Rattus norvegicus: one gene and its partner. The protein of the gene in region 1 binds, or shares a complex with, the protein of each later gene. Links are inferred from orthologs where the notes say so. Each region holds a gene or a part of one and is shown in the gene's direction. Other genes may lie near its edges.

What was found.
Region 2: the proteins of Ret (region 1) and Dok1 are in contact, whole or in part, in a crystal structure (PDB 1UEF), measured with the Mus musculus proteins. The link is inferred for Rattus norvegicus from reciprocal best matches to the Homo sapiens genes RET and DOK1. Residues at the interface, in NP_033076.2 of Mus musculus: Thr1056, Trp1057, Ile1058, Glu1059, Asn1060, Leu1062, Tyr1063; in NP_034200.4 of Mus musculus: Tyr203, Thr204, Leu205, Leu206, Arg207, Arg208, Tyr209, Gly210, Arg211, Asp212, Ser217, Phe218, Glu219, Gly221, Arg222, Arg223, Thr230, Phe242, Glu246, Ile249, Gln252.

Annotation. Positions count from the first base shown.
Region 1 is NC_086022.1:153,016,414-153,020,215, reverse strand, and holds part of Ret (proto-oncogene tyrosine-protein kinase receptor Ret isoform a precursor), read left to right. Parts: coding exon 1-121; intron 122-719; coding exon 720-830; intron 831-1,502; coding exon 1,503-1,622; intron 1,623-2,179; coding exon 2,180-2,436; intron 2,437-3,802. UniProt on the Homo sapiens protein: Receptor tyrosine-protein kinase involved in numerous cellular mechanisms including cell proliferation, neuronal navigation, cell migration, and cell differentiation in response to glia cell line-derived growth family factors (GDNF, NRTN, ARTN, PSPN and GDF15).
Region 2 is NC_086022.1:117,094,600-117,099,046, reverse strand, and holds Dok1 (docking protein 1), read left to right. Parts: upstream 1-1,412; 5' UTR 1,413-1,420; coding exon 1,421-1,480; intron 1,481-1,499; exon of another isoform or gene 1,500-1,648; intron 1,649-1,743; exon of another isoform or gene 1,744-1,748; coding exon of another isoform or gene 1,749-1,787; coding exon 1,788-2,087; intron 2,088-2,226; coding exon 2,227-2,320; intron 2,321-2,436; coding exon 2,437-2,621; intron 2,622-2,791; coding exon 2,792-3,595; 3' UTR 3,596-3,876; downstream 3,877-4,447. UniProt on the Homo sapiens protein: DOK proteins are enzymatically inert adaptor or scaffolding proteins. They provide a docking platform for the assembly of multimolecular signaling complexes. DOK1 appears to be a negative regulator of the insulin signaling pathway.

The DNA of each region.
Region 1 (3,802 bases):
GCAGAAGAAGTGGGCTGCCCCAAGTCCTGTGCAGTAAACAAGAGGCGACCTGAGTGTGAGGAGTGTGGTGGCCTGGGTTCTCCAACTGGCAGATGTGAGTGGCGTCAGGGAGATGGTAAAGGTAGGTTCGGGAGCTGGCAGGGGGTGGGATGGGGCTGGGGAGGAGGATGGGGGAGGAGAGCTGGGTAGGGGCCATCCTGGCTGCCGTCAGGAGTGAGTTCGTACAAGGTCTGCTAGTCCCTCATTTAGCTTCCCTGATCCCTGTCTTCTAAGCCTGTCCCTCCTGTGGAACCAGTGCCAGCAGAGGAGGCAGGGCTTGTGCCACCTCAATTAGATTCACTCTGGGGACCACTATACCAGAGCTGGGACCGACAGGGGACAGAGTGGTTCTTCCAGAAAGTCCCAGCCAGAAAGTGTTTCTGCCTCACTACAGGTTCACCTCCCGCTTTAAGGTGCTTGTGGCCAATATAGCTTTGACAGATCCTTGCCTTTAAGTGGCTTCCTTAGAGGAAGGCTATCTGCAGTCCTAGAATGCCCGGCACTTCAGCCCTTGGGGGACCCCTTGTCATTCCTTGCTGGTGTCTGAGGTGTATGTGGCGTTACTCAACTTGTCCCTTCATCTCGCTGTCCCTAGAGAGGCAAGGTTGGACCATGACAAAGGCAGACCATGGAGGGATATGCCCATGCAGGGTGACAGCCTGTTTTGTACTCCATCACAGGGATCACCAGGAACTTCTCCACCTGTTCTCCTAGCACCAGGACCTGTCCTGATGGCCACTGTGATGCTCTGGAGAGCCGGGATATCAACATTTGCCCCCAGGACTGTCTCCGTAAGCCCAGGCTAGGCCCAGGGTGATGCATTTTACCAGTGTGCAGGGAAGGGTCAAGGCAAGGGAGCTGGCAGCGGAGAGCTTGGAAGCCCTAACCTACACCTGAACCCAGGCTGGAGCCTCAAGTGTCTATAGGATGCTTCAGGCCAGCTGGGGGTATTGCACGAGCTTAGCATATGTAGGGCCATGGCTTCACCTTAGCACCAAAGAAGAACAGTGTGTAATAGTAGTAGGTTCAACCAAGCAGGATGTGCCAAGCCAGTCCTGCTACCATCTCATTTGAATGCTGGCTGTGCTCCCCCAGGACGGGGCTTGTGCAGCCTGGCCTGTCTATCCTTGACTGACTCATGAAGCTGCAGTCCCCGGCCTGCTGGCTCAGGACCCACGTTGTCTCTGGTCCATTTCCTCCATCTTTACTGTTACTGGGGGCTAGCTGTGGTTGATGCCTTCCGGGACCTCAGCAGTGATTCTAAACAATCTTGGCTCCCCCCTACTTCCATAGCCAGTATAGGGGTATTGTGTTAAACTCTGCCCAGGTGAAAGGGGCTTCCGAGCCTACTGCCTTCACTGGGCCTAAGCGACTGACCCCGAGTTGGGAAGGCTAATCACAGTCCGAGGACTCTGAGGCATCAGGCCACACCAGGAGACTGAATATTCCACATATGTCCTCAGGTGGCCCCATTGTTGGCGGGCATGAGCGAGGGGAGCGCCAGGGGATTAAAGCCGGCTATGGCATCTGCAACTGTTTCCCTGATGAGAAGAAGTGCTTCTGCGAGCCAGAGGACAGCCAGGGTAAGGAGCACCTCTCACAGGGCTCTCTGACTTCCTCAAACCCTCAAGGAAGCTCTGAGCAACATTTGTGTGGTTCAGCAAGGGAAGAGACTATGGGGAGGCAGTTAGACCCCAGGAGGCTGCTCCTTCCCTTTGGGCCCATTTTACCATTGGCACCACCATGAATCGGGGTCAGAATCCCTATAAAGCATATCCTAGCCACAATTCTCAATAAAGGATGCTCAGGAAAGCAGTCCTTCCAAGTAACTTGGTCAGATTTCCCGGACAGGGTCTTGCTTAGCCTCTGGTATTATGGAAGTGTCCTGGAATTTGGCTCACTCTAGGACCTCCCTGTCCAAAGCCTGTGATCCTTTCTTTCTTTGTCCTACCTTTCTATACTGACTATTCAGACATTTGCAACAGGAAAACAGGATAGCTGGTGTTGAGTGCAGTCTTCACACCACTGTTTGTACTGTGAGAGGTTTGACAGTAGGAGAATTGGTACAGCGGTGCCTGTACCCAGTCAGTAGCATCTCAGACGGTCACAGTGCAGTCCCTGTCACTCTGCCCTGCCACAGGCCCATTGTGCGATGAGCTGTGCCGTACGGTCATCACAGCCGCTGTCCTCTTCTCCTTCATAATCTCTGTCCTGCTGTCCACCTTCTGCATCCACCGCTACCACAAGCATGCGCACAAGCCACCCATCGCGTCAGCCGAAATGACCTTCTGCCGGCCGGCCCAGGGCTTCCCAATCAGCTATTCTTCCTCGGGCACCCGCCGGCCCTCACTGGACTCCATGGAGAACCAGGTCTCTGTGGACTCTTTCAAGATCCCGGTAAGGGGCCCCAAGAGGTAGGTGGACAGTGTTGGAGGAAACATGGCCACAGAGGCTTTCTTTACTACTTGGGGTGCCCACAGATGGTTGATATAGCCTTACGTAGATCCCCGTCGCATAAGGGCAAGAGCAGGGGGTTGCTTGCCTTCCAGGGCTGTGAAGGCAGACTGTCTAGGAAGGAAGTGACAGGTGCTGATTCAGATAGGACTGGCTGGGGTCTGAGATGTGGGCCTTGAGGTCCTGGTGAAAGTGAGCGTGGTCCTACCTAGCAGGGGAGGTGTGAGCAGAAGCCCCGAGAGAGAGGACCAGTAATTTCTACCCACACACAGGCATGCATACACTCATGCCCACCCAGCAAGTGTTTTATGTCAAGAGTAGGAACAGTGGAAGAGGCCCATGTTCTATAGCCCTACAATAGGCTTACCCATTGAGAAGAGGGGTGGGATGGGGATGGGGCAGAGTGTGTGGGGATCATAAAGAAGTGCTGACCCAGAGGTCCAGGGTAGCAGGAGTATATAGGGTAGATACCCCAACATGGAAGGGGGAGGCACTGGGCGCCCAGAAGAAAGCCCCAGCCACTCTTGAGATGGACAAACCTTTCCGTGGGTGCTGCTCAAGACCGGACTACCACTGAGGCCTCCCTATCATGGTCATGTCTTCTCTGTGGTTGCCATGTATGTGTCTGCCCTCACATTCGGGAAGACCCTGCCCCTTCAGCACCCTGGTTATCTGTTCGGGATTTGGAAGCCAGGGTGCTCTGGGAACAGCTAGGACAGTGTTATGGAGACAAGCGCTATGAATAGAGAAAGCCACAGGTTTGGGTGGAGGGACTGTGATGCAGACACCTGTGGGAGCACCCAGTGGCCATGGACCCCTGGCAGTTTGAAGTGGCTATGAAGTGGCCTTAGGTGGCTAGGGGGCCCTACCTTTCCCAGGCCTACGTGAATGACACCCAGCCCTCACACAGGGCTGGAGAAGTTCTTCCTACATGTGCTCTTTGCCTCTCTTGATCCTAGTGTGTGGTTCCTCCTCTGGCTGTAGCTGGATCTGCAGCAGGCTTCTAGACTAAGCCACCAGAGCTCTCTGTAACCCAGATAGCACCGGGAGGCTGCATAGCAAGGCCATATCATGTAAACAAGGGCAGAGGCACACACACGCTCCACACGTCTGCTCCAGAGTTAGCCTGGTGCCCAAAAGCTATACCCACAGAAGCCCCATGACTCAACCATTCAGCCTGATTTCCCTAATGTAAAACATGGAGAGTTGGTACTGTGACTCATTCCTCTAATTCCAGCACTCGGGGGGAAAAAAGGGAAGAAGATCACGAATTCAAGGCTAGACTAGGCTGACACAAGCAAACAAAACA
Region 2 (4,447 bases), about 36 Mb from region 1:
TGAGAGGAGTCTTGGCAATTTCCTATGGAGGCAGATGCCCAGGCAGAAAGGGCTGAGGCTAAGCAGAGCAGGAGAACCTTCTGCCACCCTCCCTAGCACATGGGCTCCCAAATATGCTGCAGAGTCAGGGGCTCCAGGAGATCTAGACTTCAAGCTGGGCAGGGTTTGGTGTGGAGTTATCCAAGCTCCCTGTAACACCTCTCTTTCTGTCACTGGGCAACCAGAAGCTAGGGCTAGCTCCTTAGCTCAGGCCTTCTGTATCCAAGGCTGAAAACAGTCCTTCCCAGTAAGGGGGGCCCTGAATTGCTTCCCCCAACTCAGACAAGACAGCTTTGTTCTGGGGGCATTTGGCTCCGAAGCCCGGTGTTCAGCTTAGGGCCTACAAACTGCACCCTGAAGTCTCCATCCCCAACAATCCGCTCAGCTCTCTGCTTTGCTGTTTCGCTCCTTTAGCAAGAATAAAACTGTCAGTTGGTTGGCTTCCCCGACTCCATCCCAAATCAGCCTTTCCCCTGGTCCACCATCCTCTCCATCCACAACTCCTCTTCCCGCTGGCCGGCTGTAACTCCCCTACCTTCGACTAGGCAGAACTCCAGAGGCTGGAAGCAGAGTCCTGGTCCTGGAGATTACTTTCAGGACTTCTCAGAAAAAAAGTGTTCGGCCAGGGGAGACTGGACCCCCCCTTCCTCCCCCCTCTTCGTTGGTCCCTCCTACGTCCTCTAGAGCCCTCCCACATTCCGCTTTCTCCCTCCATTCGGGCCAGGCCAGTTCCCTCCTCTAGATCTTCCCCTCCCCTGTGGAGCTGGCTGCAGCCACGCCACCCCCTCCCACTCCTCCGGGCTCAATGAAGCTTTCTTTTCCCGCAGGTTGGGAGGCCAGGCAGCGGCGTTCAGGATGCTGGACTTGCAAATGGTTTCGGGACAGCAGGATGGCCCCTGTGGCCGCAGGAAGCTTTTCAGCCCGTAGCCGTTTCTCCACATCTCCAGCTAGACAGAGTATCAACAGACCAGTCCAATTCCAGAGCTGGACCATGGGAACAAGGTCCCACAAAGAAAACTAATGTCCTGAGGGCCCTCTTGGTCATTATGGCGACCCCAAAGTCCCTGCAGGTGATGTCACGGCCTTCACTCTGATGTCACGTTAAATATATGTCGTCACTCCCAGCTTCCACCCCCAGGCACTAGGGCCTTTAGTTGGTGACCGCGACTTCCCTGAGTAGTGCCACTGTGCGTGCGGTGAGATAAAGGCTCCCCTTGGGTTCTTCCTGACGGCTCGTTTTCCTTCGACCCCTCCGTCCCCGCCCCCCCTCCCCGCATCACCGCCGCAGGGGCCCGGGAGGGGCGGACACGCCTCCGGCACCCTGCAGCCCCGCCCAGCCCCGCCCCCAGGGCCAGGAAGCGCGGAAGGAATCGCCTTGGCCATGGACGGGGCTTTGATGGAGGGTCCGCTTTTTCTGCAGAGTCAGCGCTTCGGGACCAAGGTAGTTTGTTTGTGTCGTGGGGGGATGGCAAAACTCCCCTGGACTAGAAATGGGTGAAAGAATCCAGAAAGAGGGAATGGGCCGGAAGAAGGTCGGAACGGCGCGCGAGCAATCGTAGAGCCCCTAAGACGTTCGTTCCCTTGAAAGTCTCGGGCTGTGCCCTCCTTGGTGCGGATTTGGGATGGCATTATCTTTGGGAAAGTAGCCCAGCCTGGGAATCCCCAGACTCAGATCGGCCTGCGTGGGTCTCTTCTCCCTTGTAGGGCGCATGCTGCCGCTCACTCTCGAGTCTTTCGTTCTTTCCCAGAGGTGGAAGAAAACTTGGGCTGTGCTTTACCCAGCCAGCCCTCACGGCGTGGCGCGGCTGGAATTCTTTGATCACAAGGGGTCGAGCTCTGGAGGGGGTCGAGGCGGCTCTCGCCGTCTAGACTGCAAGATGATACGCCTGGCTGAATGTGTGAGCGTGGTGCCTGTGACTGTGGAGAGTCCCCCTGAGCCCGGCGCCTCTGCCTTCCGCCTGGACACCGCACAACGCTCGCACCTGCTTGCAGCGGACGCCGCATCCAGCACTGCCTGGGTGCAGATTTTATGCAGAACCGCTTTTCCGGTGAGTGTCTGGGGGTGGTCACCCCTGGGCCTAAGGGGCACTGCGAGGATGAAACTACTATAACGGCATTGGACTTCTTGCACCTACCCTAGACCCAAGAGAATTATGTATATGGTCCTCGATGTTCTCTTTTCTGCAGAAAGGCGGCTGGGCTTTGGCTCAGACGGAGAACCCACCTAAGTTTTCTGCCCTGGAGATGCTGGAGAATTCGCTGTACAGCCCCACCTGGGAAGGTATTAGTCTGGCAGAAATGGAGTGGGGTGAAGAGGTGCCCTTGGGGAGATAGTGATTGGAGTCTACCAAGTCCCCAACCTGCCCCGGCGCTCCTTCTCTTCCTGTGTTCTTCCAGGATCCCAATTCTGGGTAACCTCGCAGAAGACCGAGGCTTCTGAACGCTGCGGCTTGCAAGGCTCCTACGTACTGAGGGTAGAAGCTGAGAAGCTGACCCTTCTGACTTTGGGTGCACAGAGTCAAATCCTGGAGCCGCTCCTTTTCTGGCCCTACACTCTGTTGCGACGCTATGGCCGAGACAAGGTGCATGGGGCTGTCTGGGAGGATGACCATCGGGGAGGGCTACTGGGTTGGGTAGCTGTAGGTGACAACTCCATTCCCAGGTAGTCTCTTCTGTGCAGATATACTAAATTGGTCAGACCTGTGACTCATTTCTTTAGACACTCCTAACCTGTTTCCCTCCACACCCTCAGGTAATGTTCTCCTTTGAAGCGGGTCGCCGCTGCCCCTCTGGCCCTGGGACCTTCACCTTCCAGACTGCCCAGGGAAATGACATCTTTCAGGCAGTTGAGGCTGCTATCCAGCAGCAGAAAGCCCAAGGAAAGGTGGGACAGGGACAAGATATCACCAGAACTGACTCCCATGATGGGGAGACAGAGGGGAAGATGGCTCCCACTCCTGTTCCCCAGGAACCCCTGGGCAGCCCTCCAGCCCTATATGCAGAGCCTTTAGACTCCCTGCGAATTCCTCCAGGCCCTTCTCAGGACTCTTTGTATTCAGACCCCCTGGGCAGCACCCCTGCTGGGGCAGGGGAAGGGGTGCAGCGGAAGAAACCTCTCTATTGGGATTTGTATGGGCACGTGCAGCAGCAGTTGCTGAAAACCAAGCTGATAGACTCCAAAGAGGACCCCATCTATGATGAGCCTGAGGGCCTGGCCCCTGCCCCTCTCCGGGGCCTTTATGATCTGCCTCAGGAGCCTAAGGATGCATGGTGGTGCCAGGCTCGGCTGAAGGAAGAGGGCTATGAGCTCCCTTACAACCCCGCCACCGACGACTACGCTGTGCCACCCCCTCGGAGCTCAAAGCCTACCCCTGCCCCCAAGCCACAGGGCTTGATCCTTCCTGAATCTGGTACCACAGCTGGCAGTGGCAGCAAAGGCTCAGATACAGCTCTGTACAGCCAGGTCCAGAAAAGTGGGACCCCAGGGAGATGGGACTGTGGACTCTCTAGAGTAGGGAATGACAGGGTGGGGGTCAAGTCAGAGGGTTCCACCTGAGACAGTTGCTGATAGGAGGTCCATGGGGTGGTGGCACTGAAGATCAGAGAAACCTGAGGGTGGGAGGGGCCGGGGGACCAGAGGAGTCAAGTGATGACCAGTCCCCGGAAGTTGTGGGAGTAGAAGAAACAAGGCTGCTGGACTGACTAGGCCTGTGGGAGAGGTCCACTGGTCAGAGTGAGGACACTTTGGGGAGGCCAGTATGGATCCTCACTCTTGTTCTTTGCCAGATACGTTTTAATTTATAAGGCAAATCTCATTAAAGGTGGCTTGATTGAAAAGGTCTCTGCGCATGAATAGACACTGGGGCAGGCATGCGCTGGGAGGGTGGGGAGGGGTCAAGGGAGGAAGCAGAAATATGTTGGGGACCGTGGAAGGATGAAGGGCCCCAGGGAGGGAAGCCTACAGTGTGGTGATTCACAGCCTGGGTGGTCATAGCCTCTCCTGGGCCGGTCTCTGACTCATTGACCCTGTTGTCTGTTACCTGCCATTCTTAACTCTCCTCTGCTGCCCTTACACCAAGTGTGAGAATTTGGCTGTGCTACAGAAAGGCAGCTGGCACGAGATAAGACACACTTCCCCAGCTCTTAGTGTAATCTAAAGCATAGAAGGCACTTTACCAATGGCAGCCATTTTTCTGTAGTTCGAGGGAGCTATAGAAGGTAGGCAGGCGTGGGGAGAGCAGACTAGGAAGGGAGTGGGGTTCTTTCACACCACCCACTCTCCTCTGCTAGGCTACACAGCAGCAGCCCGCCCCCTCTGCATACACATTAGCATGCTTACACCACAGGTCCCGAGTGCTCAGGGCACTCAGGAGTGCTTGGTGTTTGTGTGTCTGAAGCTGCACTGCTG